Alligator mississippiensis: one gene and its partner. The protein of the gene in region 1 purifies or fractionates together with the protein of each later gene. This does not show direct contact. Links are inferred from orthologs where the notes say so. Each region holds a gene or a part of one and is shown on either strand. Other genes may lie near its edges.

Region 1 (7,147 bases):
CATTGGGCCGCAGCTCTAACTCACCACCATGGCCCAGCTGCCAGCAACTAGTCTTACTGCCCCGCTCCACCGTCCTGCACTAGGACCCACCTGCTGGGCCATGGAGGCAGCTCCTGCCCATGCTGGTCCAGCCAAGCTGCAGCCCCATGTCTGTACAAATCTGGCAGGGGAATGTCCCACTCCCTCCCCTCCCCCCCACTGCATCACCTGTGTTCCCCCAACTGACGCATCATCTATGCCCCATAGATTTACTTGCGGGGAGCTGCTTTCCATCCTGCCTAGATGCCATATGCATGCGTGCGTACGCACATACACATGGCACCTGCTGTGTCTCACTCCCCCCAGCCCCAAGCAGCCCCTTGCAGGCTGGAATGCTGCTAGCCTGCAAGGGGAAACCCATGCTTTCCTGAGTTTTTCTGTGATTGTTCATGACCCTTTCAAATATTCTTGTGATCCTCTTATGGGTCGTGACCCATGGGTTGAGAAACACTGGCTTAGATGATAGGGTGCCTAACGTTTTCTTTCTGTTCTATTTCTCCACTAAAACCACAGAGCAAATTAGCACAGGATAATGCCATCTAACTCGAAATTACTGCCTGCAGGTTCCTCTTTACTCTGTACCCTTAGAATTTCCCTACTTCAGAGGAAAACGGATACAGCTCACCCCTGAGCAGATTCACAGGAGGTGCAGTGGTGCAGCTGCACCCCACTTTCCATGCTGTAGCTAAGCAGCTCTGGTTCCCCATGGCCCTGACTGCCTCAGTCCGGAGACACAGGAGCAACAATGGGGGCTTGTTTAAGTCCCCAAAGCAGGTAAGAATCCAACCCTCCCTCAGTAGTCCTTCTCTGTGCTCAGCAGGCACCTCCCCTCCTTCCAGCCTGCTCTTGATACAGGACAGTGCAACTCCACTGACATAGGTATAGGGGGAGCCCTAGAGCTACAGAGTAGCTTCACAGAAAGCTGGGCTCAGTGGCAGCAGCCCAAGGTATTCACTCCTACACCAAAAGTAGGCACAGGGAAGGGAAACCCACCTGCTGCCACTGCTGCCCCCAACCAAGCCTGGAATCCCCGTGCAGCCACTGCCTGCAGCTCCCCCTGGAGCAGGGCAGGAGGGGTCAGGACAGCAGTGGGCAGGTCACCCCCTTCCTGTGCCCAGAAACATGAGAGAGGAGAAAAGGGAGAATGGGAAGGGAGGGGACATGTCACTGACTATGTAAGGCAGGCCAGGCCAAGACACCTTGGTTTCTCAACTGCATTAGGGATTTAAAAAAAAAAAAAAAAGAAAGGTCTCTGACTGCGGCTCATGCAGTGAAGGGGGGGTGGGGGAAGAAGGCAGGGCAGCAGGGGGGCAGCTGGTCTCTATCCCCATGCCCCCTTTCAAAATCCTAGATCCATATAAACACTCACCCCACTGAAGCAGCAGGGAGCACAGACTGAAGAGGCAGCAGATGACAAGAGAAGAATAATAGGCTTTAAAACCACCACCTTCTTCCTGATTCTGAACAGCACCCTGCTCAGCAGCACATTGTAGGCCAAAAGGGGCCCAAAGCCCCATCTCCCCCCAATTCCAGATCAACTGATTCGGCAGCTTGAAATCCCTGCTACTGCCACTGCTGCAGGAAGCAAATACATACAGAGGAAATGCTAAAAGTTCAAGGTGTGTTGGGTGTCATCTAAAATAGAAAGGGATACTCTTGGGTTATTTCCTTGCTACTACGACAGTACAAAATAATAACCTATTACTACCAGAAAGCATTCTGAATGACAAAACAGAGTACTTCCAATTGCTTTTCCTGGCCATACAGGATCACGTTGCGATAGTTGCCCTAGTCAATGTCACTGTGAAGCTTTAAAAGGGTAATAAAAAAAAAGAAAGACAAGGGTGGTGGGCACGTGTCCCTGACAGCGCCATCCCCGCTGCCAGCGGCTTCTGCGGGTGCTTGCCGGCCCCGCCGCCAATGCCGGCTTCTGCGGGTGCCCCCCCAGACTCAAGAGGCACCAGTCACCCACGTAGGAAACGATACTAAAATAACCTTTGATAAAACGCAAGAGGGGAGCAGCACTTGATCTGTCATTCCCAGCAAGGCTCACTACAGGCTGTTACAAGAGACGGCTGAAAAGTCAAGGGCCGGGGGATCGACCTCTACCAGGGCGGGGTGACAACCCGGTCCCCTTTCGTTTTCAACTCGGTAAAACTTAGGGCCGAATCGTCGCGACCTACAAGACTAAACAGAGAGTGCCCTTCGCTTGCTGCTGAGTACGGCGGGGTGGGAGGAGGAAAAGCGGAGCCCGCCGGCCCCGGACGAAGCCAAGGGGCCGCGCGCGGGGCGGGGAAGTCATCTCTCCGGCTGGGCTTGGGAGGCGGCGGCAGCGCGGCGCGGGGCCGAGCCGGCAGCACCCGGCGGTGTCACTTCTGCATTCAGCTGTAACCTTCGCCAAACCTTGCCGCCCTCCCCCTCCGCCCAGCGCCGGCGAGAGGCTGCGGCCGCGCAGGGCCCGCCCGGGGGGCGCTCTCACAGGCCGGGCCCCGCGTCAATCTGCCCCCGCCCCGCTCCGCCTCCCGGGGCAGCGGCCTCCCGCAGGCCCCTAAAGGACAATGCTGGGGCCGGGGCCGGGGTTGCGGGGGAAGGTCGCGGCGACGGCCCCGGGGCAGCGGGACGTGCAGGCGCGGCCCAGCGCGCGAGGCCGGCCCTGCCCGGCGCCCCCGGCCCGCGGCGGGACCGCAGCGGCCTCCCCTGACGCAGCGGCGGCGCCTCCCCGGGGTTTACCTGCCGTGGCGGCGGCGGCGGCGGCGCGGAGCGGGGCCCTGGGGCCTGCGGGCGGCGGACTCCGTCCCGCTGCGGCCGTCCCCGAGTGAGCGGGCGGGACGGGCCGGAGCCGGGCCCTGCCCTGGGAGGCGTTACGTAAACCGGCGGCGGCGGCGGCGGCTCCAGCGCCACGGGGGGGAGGGGGGGGAAGGGAGGGAGGGAGGAGGGGGCCGGCCGCGCCGTCACCCGGCAACAGGACTCAGCGCCCCGGCGGACCGCGCCGGCGGCTCCGCCCCGTATCCCTCCGCCCGCAGGCGGCCCGCGTCCGGCCCGGCCCGGCCCGCGGCGCAGGCGCAGTGGGGGGCGCTGCTGTGCTGCCCCTATTCGCTCCCCCCGGCGCGGCGCGGCGCGGCGCTGCGGCGGGCTGGTACAAGAGCAGTGTTGTCCGTGCGCGGGGGGTCCGCCCGCCCACCGCCTCGGAGCCAGCTGCTGCCTCGCCACCACGAAAACCAGGGGTCAAGCAGCTCCTTCTGGCAGGAGACCTGGGGTGCCCTCCCCTTGGGGGTCCTGCACATGAAAGCGGCTTAGAAACCGGTTGTTACACCAGTAGGGGCAAAGTGGGATACTGCCTTAAGCCCCACATTTTGGGGAGCGGGAGGGTGAAGTCTTTGCAAGGAAGTGGCTGTGTTCGCATGTTGACACGCGACTATTTATTTAATTCCCCGAAAGAGTATTACAAAGATCCACGATGTAGCTGTGGTGAGTTAATATTTACCTGAGTACGTACCTGTCAGGGGCCCCAAGTGACTCTCTTGCCCAGGGCTGCAACAACCCGAAGGTTACACATTTTTAGGCACTACTTTTGTAGCTGGTTGACTTTCTTTTTTTTCTTCTTTTTTTTTTTTAAGCAGGGTAGTCATTTTTTAGACCACTGGTTCCCAAACCTTTTGCACCTTATGTCTCACCTACGTACGGTCAACAAATGCTGGTCCGACTGGCTGACAAGGGGGGTGGGGGGAGCTCCCCCAGCAGCCAATCAAAGCGTGCAAAAGTGATACCAGGAGTCCCGCCGTGGCGCTTCTGGTTTCGTCACCACCACCGCAACCCGAGTCCTACCTAGAGGGCCTTAGTGTCCTACCAATGGGACACATCCCACCGGTTGAGAAACCCTGTTTTAGACAATGATTTGGCAGGTGTGGATGGTCTGCACTTACTGTACAATTAGCCAGATAATTGTGTGATAATTGGGGTTTTTTTTTGCGTGTGTGTCTTACTTTGCCCCTGTGGCCTGGTTTAAACTTATTGTGCCACATTCATTAGTGAGTTGGGTCATATAGGTAAAGTGTAGCAGGAGCTGAGGAAAGCTAAAGTGTGAATTTAAATAGGTAGTTGTGCTTATGTAACACACCGATCCCCTTTGGACAGCCTTTGTCTTTCAGAGTCAATGTGACTTTTTCTAACCCAGGCTCAACTTTTTCAACTGGGGGGGGAAGGGTCTTCTTGTCCATTAGGACTAGTAAGGACTGAGTCTCCCATGCAGTGGAGGAATTAGGTTTCTGAAGTAAGGTACCCAAAAACCTGCAGTAATTTTTGTGAGAGTCAAGGATTGACAAGCTATATAGACAAGCTTTTGGGTATAAACTGGCTAGGCTATACTATAGCTGGTCCTAGATGAGTAGTTAGCTCCAGCAGGGCTTCTGCTGTTGCACAGGTATTTAAAGGAAGGTCTATAAAAATTTGAACCTGGTGCCTATAGGATATAATTCTACTCCAGGCTGAGAAGCTTTTCCATTTAGTTACAAATTATGTTGTTGTTTTTATGAACTATGACACAGAGCCAAAAAACCCTCCCCAAATGAAACCAAAACTCCACACGTGATCACTATTTTCTGCTGAGTCATTCCACTAGTTTATTTTAACTCTCCATTTCTGTGTTATAGCAAGTGACAGGTGATGTCAAATTTCTTATTGCGCCTGTCCTCAAGATCTAAACTCATTTCTGTTTCTATTTGTAAACGTTAGTAAAATGTAGGACACTAAGGATTTGTCTGTAAAAAGGTGGCACAAGTTTAACTACATCTATTTAAAAACAGTCTGGTGAAAGTAGTGCATACTTCTAACACAGATACTCATGTGTGAGTCCTAACTCTTGCTTAATTCCCTAATTTACTAACCCTAAAAAAACCAGTGAGGAGCCCAGGAGTGCTTCCAAGCATTCTGGAGAAGAGTCCAGTCAGAGCATCCAAGCAAATCATGCATGATTATATTTTGAATGTGTGTGTAATCTATGAGTGACATCTCAAGCGAGTGGAGCTTGTTTTGTGGCGAGAGCTTGGAAAAATACAAGTGGCTGTTTGTGGGCTGTTTCTCCCCGCTGTGATCCCTGGCTACAACCACAGTTAAAGCCAACCTGGTTTGGGCCTCACTGGAGAACACTGGAGAAACAGCTGGTGTATGACCATATGCCATATTGATGCTCTTGTGAACTCATTGCCAAACTGACCCACTGGCCAATCAAAGCTGCTTTAAGTGTAGCAGAGCAGCTGGTCCCTCTGCATGTGAAACGGTTAGAGCCCTTTCTCAGAAAATGTAGAGCTGGAATGTGTACGCATAGAATGGGGTAGCAGTAGCTCTTAATCACTCCATAGTCATGGTGCGAAATGATGATTCCCCTCCTTCCCCCCAGGTCTGTCTGTCTCTCAAGTCCAGAAGGGAGATGAAGCTCACAGACTTGGGAGGCCATATCAGCTGTAGAGTAGGTTTGTGGGTGAATCCTAAATCAGATGGGTGGGGCTCTTTCAGGTGGTCTATAATTGTCAGGAAGCTCTGGGGAGAGGATTTTGTAATGTATGTCTATCAACTGTGGTGTCTATCAGCTGCATTATGAGTGATCTGCATCAGCTGAAAGTTGGGGCTGTGCAAACATTTGTAAAATGTGGAGGAGCTGAATTAAGTAGGCATGCTTGTGGGGAGGAGAATTATATGATTTGTGGGGAGTGCCAGAATGAATTAGTATTTGATGACAGATGGTCTGTGCTTTTAGCAGAAAGCAGATCTTCAGTGGCAAGCAGAGCTTTGGCAAGTTGCATTTCTGCCCCCTGTTGCAGAGCAAAGAAAAAAAAAGTATATTGATGAACATACATGAAATCAAGCATTTGGAATCAAGTTATTTCTGCTTTTGGAGATGTATCCATGTGAAAACAAGTTGTATGTTGTATGATCATGACTTGTATTTTATTGTAAGCCTCTCACATTACTTCCCAGTATAAGGTGCCTTAAAAAGTCCCATGTATGAGAATCAAAACTTTATTTTCTCTGAATAGGTATCTTAAGCTGTATTACTGAAAGGGCACATCTACATGTCACCCTATGGTGACATAGCAATGCGCTATATGTCGCCGTACAGCATGCTACGGCGATATAGCAATCACACAGGTCTACACGTGATCACCAGCTATAGCAGAGCCCCCACCCGTATAGCGGTGATATCTAACTGTGTCCCATGCACACAGTGAAGTAGCTGCCCATACTGTGCGATGCAAAGGAAGTACTAAAGCATGGTGCTGTAGCAACATCGCCATACAGTGACATGCAGATGCACCCAAGCTCATGATAACCAACTTTAGAATGTCCACTGTTGTTCACACTTCCTACAGCTTCCACATGAAATACTCACAAAAAGCAGTCTATCCATTTGGCACTATAAAAATACAATAAAAAAATCTTCAGAAAATAATTCTAAAGAGCAAAGAAGATTTCCTCATTTTAGAGATTCCAAATCCAACTCTATAAACTAAACAAAGAGAGATTGTAAAAGTCAAAATGTATTTAAAGTTTCAAAGCAACTCCAAAAGAGAGTAATTGTCATAGATGATCACATCCTTTGTATTTTATTGGATATCATGACTAACAGATTTTCAATTATGTAATCATCTTCCTATTGAAACTAGTTTGCATAATTGTATGATAGTTTGCACAACCTCAGTTTACAATTCTTTACAACAGAGGTACTCTAAAATTTGAACAATGTGTCTCCATCTTGCTGTAAGCACCCAGGCAAAAAGTTTACACCTCAAAGTGAAGACTAGAACACAGTAACATTCAGCTGCATTCAAAAGGCCCTCATTCAACCCTTCATAGTAGATCAAGTCTTATGCTCCCTGTCATTGAGCGCACTTTCCTTATAACATCACTACACAATAGAAAAGTAAGCAGTATCCATAGCACTACAATGCCATGCCACCCTGTAATCTTCATCAGGGACTGATAAATTGAAATAAAAGAATCACATTGGCTTCAATAGATTCTGCATCAGAATTTAACTGAGCTTTATTTTATTCAGATTTTGCAACAACCTTATACATAATTAATAGAACTTTACTGTGACAACATATCACAG
Region 2 (7,948 bases), on another chromosome or scaffold:
AAAACAGTCACCGACAAAAATTAGTACCAAGCAGTGCAGAAATATGTACTACAGGCAAAGGGAAGGAATGGTTAAAGATAGTATTGCCTCAATTCTGAGAAACTGGAGATTGAAGAGGCGCATTCTGCAGTGGAGAATTTATTTGCTGACCACACCTAAGACATAACTGATAGGAACATTAGATGCCACAAGACAGTGGCCTCAGTGGCCTTGTTTAGTTTGCCTGCTACCTCACTCCTGTTACCATAGCTTTCATGCATGACGAATGTGGAAATGCTTTTGGATTTCAAATATTATCAATGTTATAAATATAAAACCAGTTAGAAAAAAAATAGATTACAGCGGTGGTACATACTGTGATTTTAGGCTTTCTAAAAAAAAATAGTAATCCATTGAAAGGTATCATTGACAGCAGGGGATTAACAATATTCAGTATCTTGTGGGGGTGGTTTCTGTTAGGAGAAGAAAATGAAGATAGAGCCACAGTGATTTAGATGCAATCCTGCTTATTTACAAATAAGGTATGCAACTTCCTGTTTCCTTGAAAACAGTACCTTTTCTCAGGGATGTGTTATAAATTGTTATCTGAATGTTTGTATTTCTTTGCTGCATTATCTTTTTTGCCTCTGATGTTTCTCCTGCCATTGTTTCTTAGTTAACCTTTTTTTCCTTTCCCCACTGTCTCCCCTCCTATTATATCCACCTGTTTCTATGAGGTTTCACTCAACTCCCAGCATAATGTCACTCCTTTCCATGCTTTCTTTTGCTCCCTATTCATAATTTCTTTTTATTCTTTTCTCATTCAGTTCCTTCTCACTTTCTGTGCTGCTTACCTCTTCATAAATGCTCAGACTCCTTTCCCACCCCTCCCAAAATAGTATACAGTTTTGCCTCAAACCCCCAAATTCACTCAGTGGCTCTCACTCACTATCACACAAACACCTTTCTCTCAAATATGGTAAATGCCAAGCCCATGAAAATTCCCTAAAAACTTGTTGGTACATGCAGCCTCTACCCCCACCCCAACCTTGCAAAACTGTTCACACACACACACCCACACACACAGAGAGGCAGGTTCCCCCAAAACTTAGTCCACATGTGACATACTCCATTGGCTTAGCCCACAGAGTTTATATGCATTCTCACTTATTAAAGCAAACAGGCTTCTCTCCTTCCCCAGTTCTTTCATATTATTTCCCCTGGTCATTAGCAATCCCTTTATTTGAGGATCTCTACCACTGCCCACTAATGGGTCTTGAGATGACTTAGGAGTCCAGTCCTTGAGCCATTTATCTGTCCACAGAAGTTACAAGTCCTTCTGTGGGGGAGAACAGGCTGTAGACTAGGATTTCTCTCCTTGTCCTTCCTCCACTTTCTGTTCTCTGGTTTGGGGGTTAGATGCTTTACCTTGAAGATGTCTGCTACTTGGTTAAAGTGGGACTGCTTGGCCTGCTGGCAGCTGCTCCCCCAGCTGCGGGAGACACGGGCAGACTCCACTGGAAAAAAAAAGGATCGGACTCCTTCAGGCACCTGCTGAAAGCAGAAGTGGCCAGGGACCCAATTCTTTTTTTCTGTGGAGCCTGCTCGCCTCTCCTGCAGCAGGTGGGGGGGGGGGGGGGGCAGGGGAGCTGACAGCTGGAACGCAACTACATCTGGATGTAGTTTACTTTACAATGATGCAAACCCCAAAACTGGTGCACATATAATATGTGACACCATTAAGCCACACAAATGACATTTTCGTCATGTGTACAAGCGCCTTAATATATCATTATGGGACAGGGAATATTCTCCCAATATTTACTAGCCTAAGGATATTCAGCGTGAGATTTGCAAAAACCAAAGACTGTTATGTGCCCAATCTGACTTCTGAGGGAACTGGTACTCTGACTCACATAGGAACTAGGGCTTGTCTATGAGAAAGTTATACTGGCTTAACCTAAGGTGTAAACAGAAACCAGTTTGGTTAACTGGGTGCAAACCCAAGCATGTGAACCTTGTTTTGGTTTGAGTTGTTTTTGTCCCCCCTTCCTGTCAGATTGGTGTACTTTGACTTTGTTCCTTATTGATTTCAAATGTCACTCAAACAAAATAATTGTCCATGAAGATAGTTGTACCAGTGCAACCTAATCAGTTTTAAACCTGATTTAAGTTAAAGTGGTACAAATTTCCCCATGCAGACTAGACTTAAGTTTATCAGGTGTGGTGAAGAAAAAAGGCAGTGTTGCAACATCTACAGCAATTTAAAGGAATAAAATAGTTGTGTATTTTATTATATTCTGCATATATTTATGTATATTACCATTCCATTCGATATATTTAGAAATATAACTTATTGCATTTCTCTCACTTCCATTCCATTTTTTCTTTCATCCATTCTGCTTTTTCTCCTTTTTCTTACAGTAGGTCACTAATGGTGGATCATAGTATCATAGTACTTAGGGTTGGAAGGGACCTAAACAGATCATCAGGTCCGACCCCCTGCCCTGGGCAGGAATGGGTGCAGGGATCATATCACCCCAGACAAATATCTGTCCAGCCCACTCTTGAAGACCCCCAAGGTAGGAGAGAGTACCACCTCACTTGGGAGCCCATTCCAGATCCTGGCAGCTCTAACTGTAAAGTAATGTCTCCTGATATCCAGCCTGAACCTTCTCTCTAACAAATTGTGGTCATTATTCCTAGTAACCCCATGTAGTGCCTGGGGGAACAGAGCCTCCCCCAATTCCCACTGATGCCTAGAAGTAGAGGTACAGACATGAACAAGTGTATACATGCGCACATTCCTTTCTCTTTCCTTCCCCACAACTTAATCAGGTTCTCCAAGTGTAAAACTTGGGACTCTTGAAAGCATATCCCACACCAAAACCCTTCTAGGGGTAAGAAAAGGGTTCTTGCTCTTTCTTGGTACCCTCACTTCCTAATGAGAAAATGTGAAACCCTGCAGTAAAAAGCAGAACAAATTCAGTAAGTTCCTAATGTTGACACCTGTTTTCTCCCAGTGACATAGAAAAGAATCATAGAAATCATAGAAAAGTTGGGCTGGCAGCGATGTTCAGGGGTCATCTAGTCCAAACCCCTGCCTAAGGTGGAATCATCTCATGTCAAACCATCCTATACAATCCATAATCTAAACTCTATATAAGACTGCTATCAACCCTGATACAGCAGACCTAACACCCTAACCTGCCACAGGTAAAGCAGGGGAACAATGACAGCCAATGCCCTGCTTCTGTGAATGATGATGTCAATATATGCTCAAGAGATCCTAGGTAGAGGGCCCCTCCCTCCAACAGACAGAGACAAAAACCCCTACAATCTTACCACAGGGTGAAATTCCTTCCTGCCCCCAAATCTGATGACTGGTCTGACCCTAAGCGTAGGGGCAAAACTCTCTAGCCAGGGACCGTTCATCCCAGCAGGAGCACTGGCACACCCCAGTCAATGTTCCCGGCCTTCTTTTTACCTCTCCCCCTGCAGATACTTTCCATCTACCTCTTACCTGCCTGTCTTATACATGGACCTAATCTATGCTATCAAGTCTTGCTGGCAGAACTCCTGCATACACAAGGTTCCCCAGTAGCAGCAGAAACCTCCACTTCTGCTGCATAGATCTTCCCGCACTCTCTGCTGGTGTTGTTCACCTTTTCAACCCATGACTCCTATCCATGCCCATTTCCCCTACCTCTGCTGCTTCCTCTGGTTTCCCCCAGTGAAGGGCCATTGCCACCTGATTTTCGCCAGACTAACACCTTCTTCTCCTCTCACTCTTCCTACACCTCAGACATCTCCTTCATCCAGCCAAGGTTTCTCCATCCTACTTCATCCTCCCAGGCCCAACAACTCTGTGAAAACTCCCCAGCTTAGATGCCTCCTCTTCCCAGTGAGGAAATTTTAGGATCACTAGGAAAAACTTCACAGTCAGGGTGTCCAGATTGTGGAATAAGCTCCCTCCAGAGGTGGTGTGATCACCTACCCTGGAAATCTTCAAGAGGACACTAGACAGTCACCTTGCTGGGGTCACCTGACCCCCAGTTACCTTTCCTGCTTGGGGCAGGACCTGATGATCTTCCAAGATCCCTTCAATTTAAGAAAATCTGCCCTCCCCTGCACCATAGCCCCTGCTCCACCCCACCCAAACGAGGTCATCCCCTTCTCAGCTCAAGGCCCTGTGTGTCCAGAGGCGAGTCCAGGCTCCTCATCCCCAGCATGGCAAGGACCTGCCTACACAAAGAGGCCTTCTGGGGCTACCATGCTGTGGATAACCAGCATGGAGAACACAGCCCTTTGCTCCTCCTGCCGTGTGTGTGAGCATGTGTGACAGTGTGAGAGTGCGTGTGCATGACTATGAGAGCATGTGAGCCTGTGTGACAGCCAGTGTGCATGTAAGCATGTGTTACAGTGAAAGCATGAGAGGGCATGTGTGTGTGGCCACAACAGTTGAGTGTGTGCATGTGCGTGACTGAGAACGTGATTGTGCATGTGACTGTATGGGAAAGCGTGTGACAGTGTGCATGAGTGTGAGTACGTATTTGTGACAGTGTGGGAGTGTATAAGTGTGTGCGCACTGCAGCCCAGCCCACTTCAGCGCCGGTGCGAGCAAGTGCCCGTGCAGCCCGCGCCGCTGGAGGCTGGGCGTGAAAAGGGTCTCCCCTGCCCCCCCCCGCTCCCAGCGGCCTGCAGCACCCGCCCAGCGCCCGCCAAGTTATACCACCACGTGACAGCCGGGCCAAAGGGGGGGGAACTGCGAGGGAACACCAGCAGTTACCAGGGCGACCAAGCCCCGCCTTCACCCCATTCCCTCCCTTCCTACGTCAGCGCGGTCTGCCCTCCCCTCCTAGCATAGACCGAGTCAGGGGCGGGGCCCTGGGCGGTGTGATTGACAGTCTCCATAGCAACAGGCTCGTCCCGTCGCCATTTTGTCAGTTGGCTTTTTTTTTTTTTTTTTCTTTTTTTGAAATCCTTCCCCTTTCCCGCCCGAACCGCCGGTTCCAACACTGGGGGAAAAAAAGGATTCGGTGCGTGACGGGGCGCGCGCATCCCACGCGCGGGGGGGATTGGCTGTGTATGTGTGTGTGTCAGCAGGGAGGTTCGAGGCGGGCGAGTGCGTGGGCCTGGAGGAGCAGCCGGCTCAGCTCGGCTTGGTGGGGGGAGGGGGAGGAGCGCGGCGCGCGCGTGCGGGGAGGGGGGAGCGAGCGAGGAGTTCCCGGGGCTCCGCCCCGCCCCGCCCGCCAACCGCCCCGGCTCGGGAGGGGGAGGGGAAGGGGACACCCCGTAGCCGTTGCCGCCGTTGCTGCCGCCGGCCGCTGCGCAGGTTGGGAGCGCGCGCCATTTTGTGAAGCCATCGACAAATCCGCCCGGTCGGGCAGCGCCGCGGATCCGCCCGCCGGGCCCCGCGCCGCCCCGCCCCGCGGCCGGCCGGCCCGGGCTGCGGGACCGCGGGCAGGCGCTGCAGGGCCCAGGCGGCGCCAAACCCACTCCCGCCGCCGCCGCCTGAGTGACGAGGCCCTGGCCCCGGCCCCGAGCGCCGCCGCCCGCGCACGGTAAGTGCCGCCGGCCGAGGCCCCGCTGCCATCTTAGAGCGGGGAGCTTGGGCACGGCCTGCAGCCGTGCGGAAGAGGAGGGGGCTGCCCGGCCCTGGGCAGCGGCACCGGCACCTGTTGCGGTGGCGGGACCCGGCTCCAGGCCGATGGGCTGTTCGCCCCCGTGAGGACGGGGTTCCCTGGTGAGGCCGGGCACAGCATCGCCCACCTGTTCCCCGCGCCCTCCTCCCGGCCCTGCCCGGCCCGGCCCGGCCCGGTTCCTCCAGCCCCGCAGTCCGCCGTGGGGGGGGTGCTCTGGGCTTCTTATCAACTTGCGAGTTGCCCCTGGATTGTTTGATGAAGGGTGTTGAAGGTTTGGCCCTCCTGCTGTTCCCCAGCCATCAGAGTGCTATGTTTTTATGCTTTTAAGATAAGGAACATAAAAAATTGTCACCCCCAACAAATCAGCAAGCTTCGTGTATTTCTTCACAGCAGCTTCCCCCCCCCCCGCGATAATGTGCTATTATTTATGGCCAGTACTGTATATATTTTTGCAAGAGGGGGCAGTCAGTGTCAAGCGGGGAGCATGCCAAGGTCTTGGAGGAGCAAACTTTGACACACTGTCGCTAAGGTGGCAACTTCTCAGTGGCCTTGCCTGCTTCCCTGAGAATGAGTGCTGGGGAGGACACCTGGGTGATGCCTGATGTCAAAACTGGTGCATTTTGTTTGTGGTCATAGTTAATAACCTTAAACATTAGTGAAAGCTGTTTAACTCATCACAAATGAGAATGGCGTAGCCCTCCTGACACGTTTGGCCAAAACTCCCCCCCCCCCCCCCCCCCCCCCCCCAAAAAAAAAAGATATAATTGAAATAATTATACTGTTCGGGAGTAAAGTTTTGTAAGTAATCCTGCATGTACCCATCTCGCGTTCAAATAGTTACTTGTCGATTGCTATTCTGGATATATTTAGTGAAACACATAAATAAATAGATTACTTTGTAGACTAGTGTCATCAACTCATAAAAATGAAGTATTTAAAGTCAAGGCGTGCGTTCATTTATTTGAAGTTTACATGTGTGATGTGTTAGATTTATGTTTTCATTCCATTTCAGTTTTTTGATACTTCTCTAGCAACAAATGTTCAAGGCTTTATGCAATCTGTGCATGGGTCTTGACAGTTATTTTTAATAAAAAATTGTTCCATGTTTGAAGTTAAATGAGAGCTGTTGCTTTTCTACCCTTCCAAATGAGATGGTTCCCTAATTTAAGTTTTCTAAATGTTTTTTTTTTTTAAATAAAAGTGCTTTGGTATTTGTTTCTAGGTGTCAGAAGTATGGCAGAATTATAGTTACTAAATCAGGGTTTGCATAGGTCTAGACTAGGTTGCCTTGAGATCCTTTAAAGGGTGCCACAGGGTACGATACAATGTTAGCTTAGTTGTGTGCTGGCATGATTCACAAGATAAACCCATAGATTTCAAATAGGAATCCATAACGGTAAAGCTGTTGTGGTCTTTCTGAGTTCTTTGCATCCAAAGACTTGCTACAAAAAAAAAAAAAAGAGTGAAACCTAGGAGTTGGGATTTTCTGAGGGGTGCCCTCAAAAGGTTTAGAACCAGTGGCTCAGGCCTTAACATCTTGGCTTTGCCATTGTGGACAGCTGTAGGGAAAGAGGAGCAAGAGCAGTTTTCTGAAATAGCGAAAAAAAGATTTCTCTGCTTGCTACGTGTGCTCCAAAAGAACTCCAGTTTACAACTGGTATTTCATTTTTGGTGTGAAGGCAGTGATGTAGTAGTGCCTGAGCATGTACCCATTTTTAGAGTGCTGTGGGCTTTATCTATAATAGGGTTTAATATATGAGGTTAATTGATGCATTCTAGCTGTTATTTTAATATCCTATGCAAGGCATATAGGACATGCTACCTTCACTATCTGGATGAAAGTTTTTAAAAGTTAGCCCGTGTTTGCTAACACATTCTGATAGCACACGTTAAAACCTTACTTTAGACAAGGCCTTAGCAAGAAACTTGTGACTGAGTTGAAAACATATACTACTTTTGTCCACAGATGATTCATCTGAGGACAGAAGTAGTGTATGTTTTCAGCCTCATTAGTTTAACAGGGTACTTTTTAATATAGAGGCTAACACATTTGCTTAGCTGTTTCTGTTGCCCACAGCACAACCAGCAAACGTAGGGGCGTATTAAACTTAGCTGAAAAGCATGCCCCTTTTCCTTTATAGCATACATACATTATTCTGAACAGAAATGGGTGGCGCATTCAAAGCTAAAATGTTCAGAAAACCAACTATGCTGCTATAGTTTAGGTAATGTCTTCAGTTTCCCTTCAGAAACTCTTTATTTTGAGGTGTTCATAATGTCATACTGAAAGTTGTGCTACCAGCTTAAGTTTGGAAGCAAGTATG

Evidence for each region. Proteins that work in one complex are often made in the same cells at the same time.
Region 2: the proteins of KIAA0232 (region 1) and DYRK1A purify together in Homo sapiens (affinity purification with mass spectrometry; 3 studies listed by BioGRID and IntAct, with this or other methods). This does not show direct contact. The link is inferred for Alligator mississippiensis from reciprocal best matches to the Homo sapiens genes KIAA0232 and DYRK1A.

The regions. Positions count from the first base shown.
Region 1 is NC_081825.1:26,191,764-26,198,910, forward strand, and holds the start of KIAA0232 (uncharacterized protein KIAA0232 homolog), read right to left. Parts: upstream 3,002-7,147; 5' UTR 2,770-3,001; intron 1-2,769.
Region 2 is NC_081824.1:295,213,514-295,221,461, forward strand, and holds the start of DYRK1A (dual specificity tyrosine-phosphorylation-regulated kinase 1A), read left to right. Parts: upstream 1-4,934; 5' UTR 4,935-5,018; intron 5,019-5,276; exon of another isoform or gene 5,277-5,543; intron 5,544-7,948. UniProt on the Homo sapiens protein: Dual-specificity kinase which possesses both serine/threonine and tyrosine kinase activities. Exhibits a substrate preference for proline at position P+1 and arginine at position P-3.